3 linked regions of the Canis lupus familiaris genome follow. The protein of the gene in region 3 purifies or fractionates together with the protein of the main gene of each other region. This does not show direct contact. Links are inferred from orthologs where the notes say so. Each region holds a gene or a part of one and is shown on either strand. Other genes may lie near its edges.

The links.
Region 1: the proteins of MET (region 3) and PLXNB1 purify together in Homo sapiens (co-immunoprecipitation; 3 studies listed by IntAct). This does not show direct contact. The link is inferred for Canis lupus familiaris from reciprocal best matches to the Homo sapiens genes MET and PLXNB1.
Region 2: the proteins of MET (region 3) and GAB1 purify together in Homo sapiens (affinity purification with western blotting; 3 studies listed by BioGRID and IntAct, with this or other methods). This does not show direct contact. The link is inferred for Canis lupus familiaris from reciprocal best matches to the Homo sapiens genes MET and GAB1.

Annotation. Positions count from the first base shown.
Region 1 is NC_049241.1:41,069,929-41,073,576, forward strand, and holds part of PLXNB1 (plexin-B1), read left to right. Parts: exon of another isoform or gene 1-1,579; 5' UTR 1,580-1,632; intron 1,633-2,204; 5' UTR 2,205-2,210; coding exon 2,211-3,317; intron 3,318-3,648. UniProt on the Homo sapiens protein: Receptor for SEMA4D. Plays a role in GABAergic synapse development. Mediates SEMA4A- and SEMA4D-dependent inhibitory synapse development. Plays a role in RHOA activation and subsequent changes of the actin cytoskeleton.
Region 2 is NC_049240.1:741,723-745,370, forward strand, and holds part of GAB1 (GRB2-associated-binding protein 1), read right to left. Parts: intron 3,055-3,648; coding exon 2,453-3,054; intron 1,253-2,452; coding exon 1,167-1,252; intron 976-1,166; coding exon 672-975; intron 1-671. UniProt on the Homo sapiens protein: Adapter protein that plays a role in intracellular signaling cascades triggered by activated receptor-type kinases. Plays a role in FGFR1 signaling. Probably involved in signaling by the epidermal growth factor receptor (EGFR) and the insulin receptor (INSR).
Region 3 is NC_049235.1:55,754,594-55,758,711, forward strand, and holds the start of MET (hepatocyte growth factor receptor precursor), read left to right. Parts: upstream 1-1,176; 5' UTR 1,177-1,195; coding exon 1,196-2,398; intron 2,399-4,118. UniProt on the Homo sapiens protein: Receptor tyrosine kinase that transduces signals from the extracellular matrix into the cytoplasm by binding to hepatocyte growth factor/HGF ligand. Regulates many physiological processes including proliferation, scattering, morphogenesis and survival.

The sequences.
Region 1 (3,648 bases), on a different chromosome or scaffold from region 3:
TCTTGGTCTAACCATGGACACTCTGCCCGTAGCACATCCCTGAGCAGGAGGTGGCCGGAGGGAGTGAGCAGTAGCTGAGTGCAGGAGAAAGCCTCTCCCATTCTCAGGCAGACTCTGTCTTCCCAGAGTAAGAAACTTTCCCCCCATCCCTTGGAAACAAGGTGGGGGGCTTCTGGAACCCTGGCCTTGCCATAGTCCTGGGTTCACGACTCTCCCTACTATCCCCTTTCCCCCACCCCCTCGGGTAGCAAACAGAGGCGGCCTTGTTCCTGCTCCCATAGAGCTGCCCTGTTCTCCACACACTAAAAATGGAAACCCCCAAGCTATTTTGGGAGCAGTGCCCAGCTGGGCTGTGGCCACTGCTCCCCTGCTCCCACCAGGCTGCTGGACCCTTCTCTGAGACTTACGCCCAGCCTTCTCATTGCGGGACAGTCTCAGCAGTACCTTGGCGGGGTCTTGGCTGGGAGGAGCTGACCCTGGGCTGAGGGAAGCTCTCCCTCTTGCAGACTGGCAGCTGGGGGCGGGAGGGGCTGGGCAACGTGGGCTGGGCAGAGGCCGAGTAGAAGTTATCTCCCGGCCTGGGAGCAGCATTTCATCAACCTAGTGTTCCTGACTGGGGACCACCCGGGGCTGGGGAAGATAGTGTTGCCATGGTTTTCAGCTCCCAGCAGGCCTTAGCAGGGGCTTACAGGGAGGGATCTGTGAGGAGAGCAGGGACCCAGGGTCTGAGGAGACCCCGGGGGTGGGCAGCAAAGCTGGACATGGTGACTTCTGGGACAAGCCTCCCCCAACCCTGGGCCCTGGCTCTGCTCTGACCTGCAGGAGAAGAAATAGCAAGAGATATGCTGGCTTCCAAGGCTCTGTAGGCCTTAGGGCTCGAACCAGGGAAGTGCGCATGAATCTGTGTGTGTGGGTGTCTGAATGTGGGTGGGTGTGACATCTGCTTGTGTGGAATGCCTGTTTGTGCAATATGTGTGTTTGTGTAAGGAGGTTGTGTCTTTGTGCAGGTGTCTTAAGTGTGTGTGGTATATGGCCTGTGTTTCTCTGTGTGTCTGTGCTATGTGGACGTGTTGCATCTGCATGTATCTGCATGTGTGCAAGTGCCTGTGTGCTTGTGTGTGGGCGTGTGCATGCAGTGCCAGTGGCATGTATGTTTCTTTGTGTATGCAAGCTTGTGTTTCCCTATGTGCCAGTGTCAGTTTGGGCTAGGACGGTCCCTGGCCTGTGTGGTACCTGGGTGCCCTGATGGAGTTTGGGCAGAGGGTGAGAAAGAGTTCCAGGAAGGGAGAAGGAGCTGCAGAGGGACAGGGCCATCCTGGGGTGGGGTGGGGCTGGGCTCTGCCAGCTATGGGGCTCCTTCCTAGCTGCCCTTTCCCAGGCCCTGAGGGTGCCTGGTTCCACTGCCCTCCTCCTCCCTGTGTGGGCTCTGAGGAGGCGTCCCCTGTGGAATGTGTTTGGTGGCTGAGGGCCAGGCTGGGCCCAGTTCCACTGGCAGGCTGGGCAGCGGGAAGGGGAGCCTGGGCTCCCACATGCCTGCAGCCCAGCCCCCAGCTTCATGTTCTGCTATCTCCCTGGCTAGGTGACTCCCACACAGGTCATGCTGTTATCTCCTGATCCAGTCAGCCCTGCCAGGTGAGCCTGACCTCACACCTAGGCACTTGGGAGAAGTGTGACTCCTTCTTATGGCTCTCCAAGGTGGGGTCTAGTTTCTCAGACCCCAGCCCTGGCAGCCTCAACCTCCCTCATCTTGTCATTGGTTCTGTGGTTTCCTTCTGGATTCCTGGCCTTTTCAGAGGGGTCCTCTCAGTGCTCTGAGCCTCTCAGGGCTCTGGGCCTCTCCTTCCCCTCACTTGCTCTCTTGCCTATTCCAGGCCCCAGTCCCCTGGGGTTGGGTTGTTTCCCACATCTCTGCCCCACTGGCCGCTTACCCTCGGACCCTGTGGTGACACAGGCCAGGGCAGGGCAAAGGGGTGGTGGGATGGGATGGAGGTCTCCTGAGACCATAGTGCTTGCAGAAAACGAACAGTGTTGAAGTTACCAGGAAAAGATCTGACCCCTTGCTAGTATGTGGTCCTGGGGTCATCCTGGACCACAGTGCCATCTAAGCCTGGGCCTCCTCTGCTCACTCCCTGGGGTTAGGAGAATCATCTTGGTGATGTGATCCCAACAGTGGCCCTTCAGCACTCCATCTCTCTCCTTGCCAGGTGACCATGCCTGCCCTCGGCCCAGCTCTTCTCCAGGTGTTCTGGGCTGGGTGGGTTCTCACCCTCCAGCCCCCTCCACTGGCTGTTTTTACTCCCAATGGCACGCATCTGCAGCATTTGACACGGGATCCCACCTCAGGCACTCTCTACCTAGGAGCCACCAACTTCCTGTTCCAGCTGAGCCCTGGGCTGCAGCTGGAGGCTACCGTGTCCACGGGCCCTGTGCTAGATAGCAGGGACTGCCTGCCACCTGTGATGCCAGATGAGTGCCCCCAGGCCCAGGCTACCAACAACCTAAACCAGCTGCTCCTGGTGAGCCCAGGGGCCCTGGTGGTGTGCGGGAGTGTGCACCAGGGGGTCTGCGAGCTGCGGCGCCTGGGGCAGCTTGAACAGCTATTGCTGCGGCCCGAGCGCCCTGGGGACACCCAATATGTGGCCGCCAATGATCCTGCGGTCAGCACAGTGGGACTGGTGGCCCAGGGCTTGGCTGGGGAGCCCCTCCTCTTCGTGGGGCGAGGCTATACCAGCAGGGGTGTGGGGGGTGGCATCCCTCCCATCACAACCCGGACCTTGTGGCCGCTGGACCCCCAAATTGCCTTCTCCTATGAGGAGACGGCCAAGTTGGCTGTGGGCCGCCTCTCTGAGTATAGCCACCACTTCGTGAGCGCCTTTGCACGTGGGGCCAGTGCCTACTTCCTGTTCCTGAGGCGAGACCTGCAGGCTCAGTCTAGAGCATTTCGTGCCTACGTGTCCCGAGTGTGCCTCCAGGACCAGCACTACTACTCCTATGTGGAGTTGCCTCTGGCCTGCCAGGGTGGCCGCTATGGGCTGCTTCAGGCTGCGGCTGTGGCCACATCCCGGGAGGTGGCCCAGGGCGAGGTGCTCTTTGCAGCCTTCTCCTCAGCCGCTCCCCCCACTGTGGGCCGGCCTCCGTTGGCAGCTGCCGGAGCATCTGGAGCCTCTGCCCTCTGTGCCTTCCCTCTGGACGAGGTGGATCGCCTTGCTAACCGCACACGAGATGCCTGCTACACTAGGGAGGGCCGTGCCGAGGATGGCATCGAGGTGGCCTATATTGAGTATGATGTCAACTCTGACTGTGCACAGCTGCCGGTGGTGAGTCCCAGCTGATTCCTGTCTGGCATTCACAGCCAAGCAGCTGCCCGAGGACTCTGAAGGGAAACTAGTGGTGGTGTGGGGGCTGATCAGGTCAACGGAGGGAATGTACTTCCATTGTGCCTGGGTGGTGGAGAGATACCTTACTGAAATTGTGGCGCTCAGGTTTTGGAGAGCCATTCATAGCTGGGCTTGGACTGGGCTCTGTAGAGGTGGTGTTTGTGTGGGTAGACTGAGGGTGTTTGGGGTCCTAGGGTATGGGGCAGGGACCTAGAATGTAGGGAGTTAGGCCCTGTTTCAGGTTTTTGAGCAAGAGCCTGGTGAGGTTGAG
Region 2 (3,648 bases), on a different chromosome or scaffold from region 3:
GAAGTTGTTATATGGACAGACTGGAAAGATTGTACAAGCAACCTCATTGTTCTTAGAGAATGACGTCAAACCTACTACTGATCTCTAGTCTGATTGGATATCCTGTACTCTGGAGAAGAGGTTACAAAATAGCAGCCAAAGACCACGTCTAGTCTGTACAAGTGTTTGCTTTGGTCTGCAGTACTTTTTTTTTATTTTTTTGTTTTTAAATTAAACAAACTGATCAAACTCAAGAATCAAAAGATGATACGCACAAGAGATGAAACTTCTGGCTTCTCCTGATACATCAGATGATTTGCCTGTGTGGGCCCACAGCAGACTCACAAGTCAACAAAGGACTACCGCCCAGGAGCACTCAGTTACTCCATTTGGAGCGGGCAAGTGCATTTGAGTTTCTCCTAATTTTCTCCTGTTGTTTGCCAACCTTGTGAGTATTTTAGTTTGTAACCTCTGCTCTAGAGACAGGAGACAGAAATCTCACCTGGGCATCAACATACAACAATTATTAATCTACAAACAACAATACTGCACTAAAAACAAGTTAATGACTAAGGTACTATGATGTACTTCAGAACTTCCAGTCCCGATTCCATTTTGGATTTAACGACCGGTAAGTGCAGCTGGCAACACCCCTGCCCCCTGCCCCTTGCATTGCACCGTGCCCTCCCTACCTTTCCTGTCAGGCTTGAGGTTCCTATCCACGGGAGGTGGTTCACAGTCTGCAACAGGAACTGGCCTTCGGGGAGGGGTCTTTGGGCTGGACCGGAAGCCCATGTGAGCAGGAGGAGGAACTTGCATTCCGAATGAAGAAAAATCAAATGTTCCTGGAGTCATTGGCACATAATTTGCTTCCTGAATTGGTTCCGTAAAACTGCTGGAATGTTGTCGTGGAGGAGAATTGGGATTCATTGGGACGTAATTTTCATCCAGTTCTTCATTTGATACACTTCCCACTGTCAATATATTTTTGATTTTCTAAAACACACAGACATTTCTCTTAATAAACACAAACTATTATCCAACGTGAGAACACGATTCTAAGTCACACCTATTCATACGGATCTGAGGGGACTTTTATCTAATGACCTCATTTAGTCTCAGGGCACTGAGTGTGGAGATCCTGACAATGAAATGCATTTGATGACACCAAGGTCAAGTATACTTACAAAGTGGTTATGGAAGCCTTCAAGTGAACTAGACCTGTCACTTGGAAATGTTCGTGGGATATCATAGCAGTCTTGAGAACTACCATCTAAAACAGAAAACAAACGATCAGCATTTCCTCCCATTTTTACCAGTTCTCAGGGTTTTCAGAATGGTCTCTTCTCTCTCTTCACACACATGCATGCGGGTATGCGTGCACACACACAGATTTTTAAAAAGACACTAACAGAATAATATCTTGAAAGGGTGCATTAAACCACCGGCAAACGCAGACACTCACTAAATGCTAACCAGTACCAGCATTTGATTATGAATGTCTAAGTCTGGGATGAGATGGGTTATTTAAATACTACTCTTTTCTCGTCTTCTGCACCACCTTGGGTCTAACTCATATTTCACTAACCCGTAATGAGATTACAGAGCCACTTTGAGATGGGAATTAGAAATTGGTGCTGGATGGCTGAGTCAAATCTCCACATTAGTACTCTTCATGATGCATCAAATCTTTATTTTCTTTAGGACTGGTGGGAAACTCTACCACAAAATATAGAAACGTTGGCACATAGTTTTTAGGGCATGTGCATCTTAAACTCTGGCTTTCTATTTCTAGGACTTTAAGAACCTTAGAGTGTAACCCAGACTGAACTTCTCTCCTCTGAGGTCGGTAACTTTTGGCAAGCTCTAGGAGATGGCATATGACTAAGTGAAGTGGCTAGGGTAAGGGGAGAGAAGATTCAGAACTTTAAATAAAACCAAAAAAAAGCAGAATGGCACGACTGGAACTGAGTATACTTGTTAGACACTACATACAAATTGCTTGTTGAGGAAGGAAGGAAATGGAGCCCAGCAGATGTGACACAGAAGCGGCCATAATGGCACACAAATACAGGAAAGGGATGACTTGGAGAACTTTGTGGCTGCTCCATTTCCTGTGTCTCTGTCCCAGCAGAGAGTCTACCCACCCAGGATACATGGAAAGCAGAAAAGAGGGGTGCACACTTCCTGAGGCAGGAAAGGATCTCTAAGGCCATACTTCTTCAGGGATGAAAAACTCCAACTCTTTCTCCCTCCAGCAGAACATGCACTCAGGCGCACGCTGCATGCACAAACACCCTTCCCAGGATCTACTGAGACTCTGATATCTTCGCTACATGAGTGGGTAACTCCAGAGCTGAAGGAAGAAAAGGACTATCATTTAACATCATACTATGCTAAAAAGAACAAATATTCAGATGCACAGATTTTCTATCATTAACCTCTAACACAGTAGAAGCCACTTAGAGCTGACCTTTTCGCAATTTGTTCAAATCCACAGTGGAAATGGTATTACTACGTGATGGTGGCATCCCTGCTGTAGGGATACAGTAACTACTGTCAGTATCTGAGGCCGTGCGTGTGATACTGCACGTTTCCACAGGAGATCGGTCATGAGCTGGATGTGGTTTCGGTGGCCGAGGAGGAGGAAGATCTGGAATAGTGTCTAGCTTTGACGTCTGTCCCAAAGTTCCTTCTGGAAATGTTCGTGGAATCTGGTAAGTATTACCAGGTGTTGGAGGAATGTCATAACTAATAGATACATGCCTCATTTGAGTCTCTACACTTGATGTCCCAGATGGGGTATTAAAAACATAGAGTTCTCCATCTGCCTCGGTACTGGATGGAGACACCTTTGGTAAAACATCGTGGGAGTAGCTCCTGGGCAGGTTATAAAGGCTGGAGTCTACAGAAACAGAGGCAGCACGAGACGGTGGAGAGTCATACATCATTTGCTGCTGAAAAAAGCCATTCACTCCATGTTTGCTCTGGGAGGAAGCAGGATTTTTATGAGAAGGGACGTTATCATTGCAGTCTGTTTCAGAAGAGGTGGATTTTGCAGAATCAGCATGTGTTCTAAATAAAAATTGTTAATGACAGAAAATAAAACATGGTGAAGACATAAGACTACATTTTAATAAATATATTTATAGCTCAGCAATCAAAATACATGGCTTTTCTCATTCGATTTTTTTGTGCGATCCGTAAGATTTAAAGCATGAATGCTTCTTAGTTTTTATGATTACACCAGACAACACAACCACCACCACAAAACCACCAAAAGCATTCTCTCTAATTCCTGTCCTGTCCCAGCCCACACCCCCAACGGCACCTATTAAATCCACACATAAAACCCTGATCCCTGAGGCACTAGAATTAGAAAGGTACACAACTCCAAGAAAGGTAAATGATTAAGGCATAGACACAAGGAAGAGCATTTCCTCTGAAGAGCATGCAGAACCCTTGGGCCAACACCGTTTACCAAGTAGGTCCACTTGTTCCTTACTCAGCCCACCTCTGGCACCTGCTGTTCCGTAAGACTGTGGGATTGCAGAAATTCAATGTCATCTACAAGGAGGTGGCAACTTGAAGGCTTTTGTATATCTTTCTTTCTACTAATTTTCTGTAACAAACATTTAGCCAATACTATAAAGATGATCAAAATATAAG
Region 3 (4,118 bases):
AATCCCATTTCCAAAGTGCAAGCACAGAGCCATACACATACTAGTTATTAGTGAAATCTGCTATGATTTTGTAGACCTAGGGTTAGTCTTTGGCATGGTTATAATGCCAAACAAGTTTTTAAAGATTCCTATCAGAATTATACACTAAAAATGGAGGGAAAAAAGTAATTAGCTATTTTGTTTCTATTCCTTCTAAGGCCTCCTTTCTAAGGTACCACCCTGCCTACAACTTTTATGAGTAGAACTAACAATGTTTGTTTATAGCCCTATACTTTAAGTTTTTTGAAACAGAAAAACAAATGCACTCAGGATAACTAGTTAGAAATATTGTCCATGGGCATACAATGGAATCTTAAAATAATGTGTTTGTTTTTTGTTTTTTGTTTTTTGTTTTACTAAATAGCTTTTGACTTGGTAATGAACAATATGTTGTTTTTCCCCAAGAAATAATTCTAGGACTTTAGTCCTGAACATTATATTTTATTTTACAAATTTTCAGCTTGCTGTTTTTATGTTTCCAGTGATCTTACATTAAGTTAAGCATTTGTCTATCCAAAACAATAGGTCAGCTATAGCCAAATTATAACCATACCTTTCCTCTGCACACAAATTCCTATAAACAGCATGTGATCATATTGCTTCTAGAATTTATGATTGTTTTCTTCCAAAAGGAAGCTAAATTTAGCCTAGTAATTCTACATGCTCCCAAGGAAACAATGCCTGCTGTGATTTCTAGAATAAATGAATCTGAACCACAGTTCCTTTACTTGACTAACTAAGAAAGTTTAAATATCAACCTAGTCATTAACCACAGATATTAAACCACATTAAACAACCAGCAAGAGGTTAAGAAAGAAATTTGCTGTTTCTGACTTCATTGCTAAATGAGTCCAACTTAGTTGGGTGTATTGTCTTTAATACAGAACATTGTTTGCATCTCATAATGGTTCTCTAAAATTACTCGTTCATGGCTTGAGTTCTAAAATTAAACTATGTGGAGTCATGTCCATCTGCACAATGCATCATTATGTGAAATCAGCTAGAGTTTTTTATTTTCACTTGATGTAAAAATTCCTGTTAGGAAGATTTGTTTCTAATAGTTTAACTGGTATGGTTCTTTCAGTTTCTTCTTTGTTTCTAATGACAACTAAACTGCTCTCTCTTTGAACATGTTTTGGCAGATATGCTTCTCACCATGAAGGCTCCTGCTGTGCTTGCACCTGGCATCCTTGTGCTTCTGTTTACCTTGGTGCAGAAGAGCTATGGGGAGTGCAAAGAGGCACTAGTAAAGTCTGAGATGAATGTGAACATGAAGTATCAGCTTCCCAACTTCACTGCCGAAACACCCATCCAGAATGTTGTTTTACACAAGCATCATATTTACCTTGGTGCAGTTAACTATATTTACGTTTTAAATGACAAAGACCTTCAGAAGGTTGCTGAGTACAAGACTGGGCCCGTGCTGGAACACCCAGATTGTTCCCCATGTCAGGACTGCAGCCACAAAGCCAATTTATCAGGTGGTGTTTGGGAAGATAACATCAACATGGCTCTGCTTGTTGACACATACTACGATGACCAACTCATTAGCTGTGGCAGTGTCCACAGAGGGACCTGCCAGCGACATATCCTTCCACCCAGCAATATTGCTGACATACAGTCGGAAGTGCATTGCATGTACTCCTCACAGGCAGACGAAGAGCCCAGCCAGTGCCCTGACTGTGTGGTGAGTGCTCTAGGAACCAAAGTCCTGATATCAGAAAAGGACCGGTTCATCAACTTCTTCGTAGGCAATACCATAAATTCCTCGGACCATCCAGATCATTCATTGCATTCGATATCGGTGAGAAGGCTAAAGGAAACGCAAGATGGGTTCAAGTTTTTGACAGACCAGTCTTACATTGATGTTCTACCGGAGTTCAGAGACTCCTACCCCATTAAATATGTCCACGCCTTTGAAAGCAACCACTTTATTTACTTTTTGACAGTCCAGCGAGAAACTCTAGATGCTCAGACTTTTCACACGAGAATAATCAGGTTCTGTTCTGTAGACTCTGGATTGCATTCCTACATGGAAATGCCTCTGGAGTGTATTCTCACGGAAAAGAGAAGAAAGAGATCCACAAGGGAGGAAGTGTTTAATATTCTCCAAGCTGCATATGTCAGTAAGCCTGGGGCCCATCTCGCTAAACAAATAGGTGCCAACCTGAATGATGACATTCTCTATGGAGTGTTCGCACAAAGCAAGCCAGATTCTGCTGAACCAATGAATCGCTCTGCCGTCTGTGCGTTCCCTATCAAATATGTCAATGAATTCTTCAACAAGATCGTCAACAAAAACAATGTGAGATGTCTTCAGCACTTTTATGGACCCAACCACGAACACTGCTTTAATAGGGTAAGTCACATTCATTTCCCACTTATAAGGTATAAGTCAGAATAAGTACCAGTCCAGAAAAGAATATCAAGGGCTTTTTGGTGCCTGGTAAATTATTTTTATCCATAATATTTGTACATTCTTTCCAAGAAAATTTAGATATTGTATCTTCATTTAAATGTAAAATCAGGGACGCCCAGGTGGCTCAGTGGTTGAGCGTCTGCCTTTGGCTCAGGGTGTGATCAAGGATCCTGGGATCGAGTCCTGTATCGGGCTCCCTGCAGGGAGCCTGTTTCTCCCTCTGCCTATGTCTCTGCCTCTCTCTCTTCGTCTCTCATGAATGAATAAATAAAATCTTTAAAAATAAAATAAGAAATAAATGTAAAATCATAACTTGAGAAAAAGTTAATGTGGTTCTATGAAAAGATATTTTACAGTTTAGGTTTACATGGTTGTCAACACTTAAGATTATTAAATTTGTTTCTCATTTAAGCTTTAATAGTTCTGGTCAGATTTACACAAAGTTTAACACAACAGCAATTCCTGTAAAACACAATTATTGAGATCTCAGTATAGTCTTTACAACATATAGATGAGAAGCCCAAGTTAATTTGTGAGTTTTAAAGGCTTTTTGCCTTATGAGGCCCCATTTGCTCACTGATATACAAATGAATGGTTTACATTCTGGGCATTATGTAAAGAAAATTAAACTAAAAACAAACAACAAAAATCTCTTCTAAAATCTTGGTAAATCAAATATTTTTAAATGAGCTAATACACTTCTCTGAAGAACTTAGAAAAGTAGAGGAAACTTTTGTTCCCAAATCCTTCCTTTGGAACTTGCGTGGACTTTCTACGTGAATGGACCTGTGTGTATCACCTGCTAGCTAGATACTTTTTACCTGGTTGGTATTTGATATTTATAAATACTGATATTTTCATCAATACTTGTTTATACCTACATGAAATGGTATTTTCACAGATGTTAGAAACATTCTTTGTTGGTTTAACTTACATATAGTTAAAGCTACCAGCCATAGCCAGAGGATTTATCCTACTAGCACCAGATCACTTGGTGCTAGAGGAAGAACACCAAATCCAGAGTTCATTGTGGCCTTGGGCTCCCTTGGTTTGGACCCACATTCAAGCATATGAACCTGGGTATGCCTCCTAACATAACGACCGCTCGTGATCATAATTAGATGAACAAATAGTATAGCTTTTCTAAAGACAGTTTGACTTCAGAAATCCACATCTCACGACTCTATCAGTTTTCAGTCTCAGTAATAAAGCTTGTAATTGTAAGCAGAAGGATATTAAACATATCTTTGATGAAAGAGAATATCTAATGTGCTGAAGGGTATCAAGGACATATGAATTCAAAAACATTTGGTTCACTTTTTGCTGAAATGTCTGGGATACTTCCCCAAATGGAAACTCCAAATAGCTCTTTTTTTGAAGATTTTATTTATTTATTTATTTACTTATTTATTTGAGAGAGAGCATGTGTGCACGTGCACTCAGGGGCAGGGAGAGGGGCGGAGGGAGAGGGAAAGAGAATCTGCAGCCAATTCCACTCCGAGTGCAGAGCCCGATGCAAGGCTTTATTTCACAACCCTGAGATAATGACCTGAGCCTAACTCAAGAATTAAGCCACCCACACGCCCCTCAAATAACTTTGTATAAAGCTAGAAAAATGCTTCTGAGAAAAGGAAACTCCTGTTTTAGTGAACTAAAGACA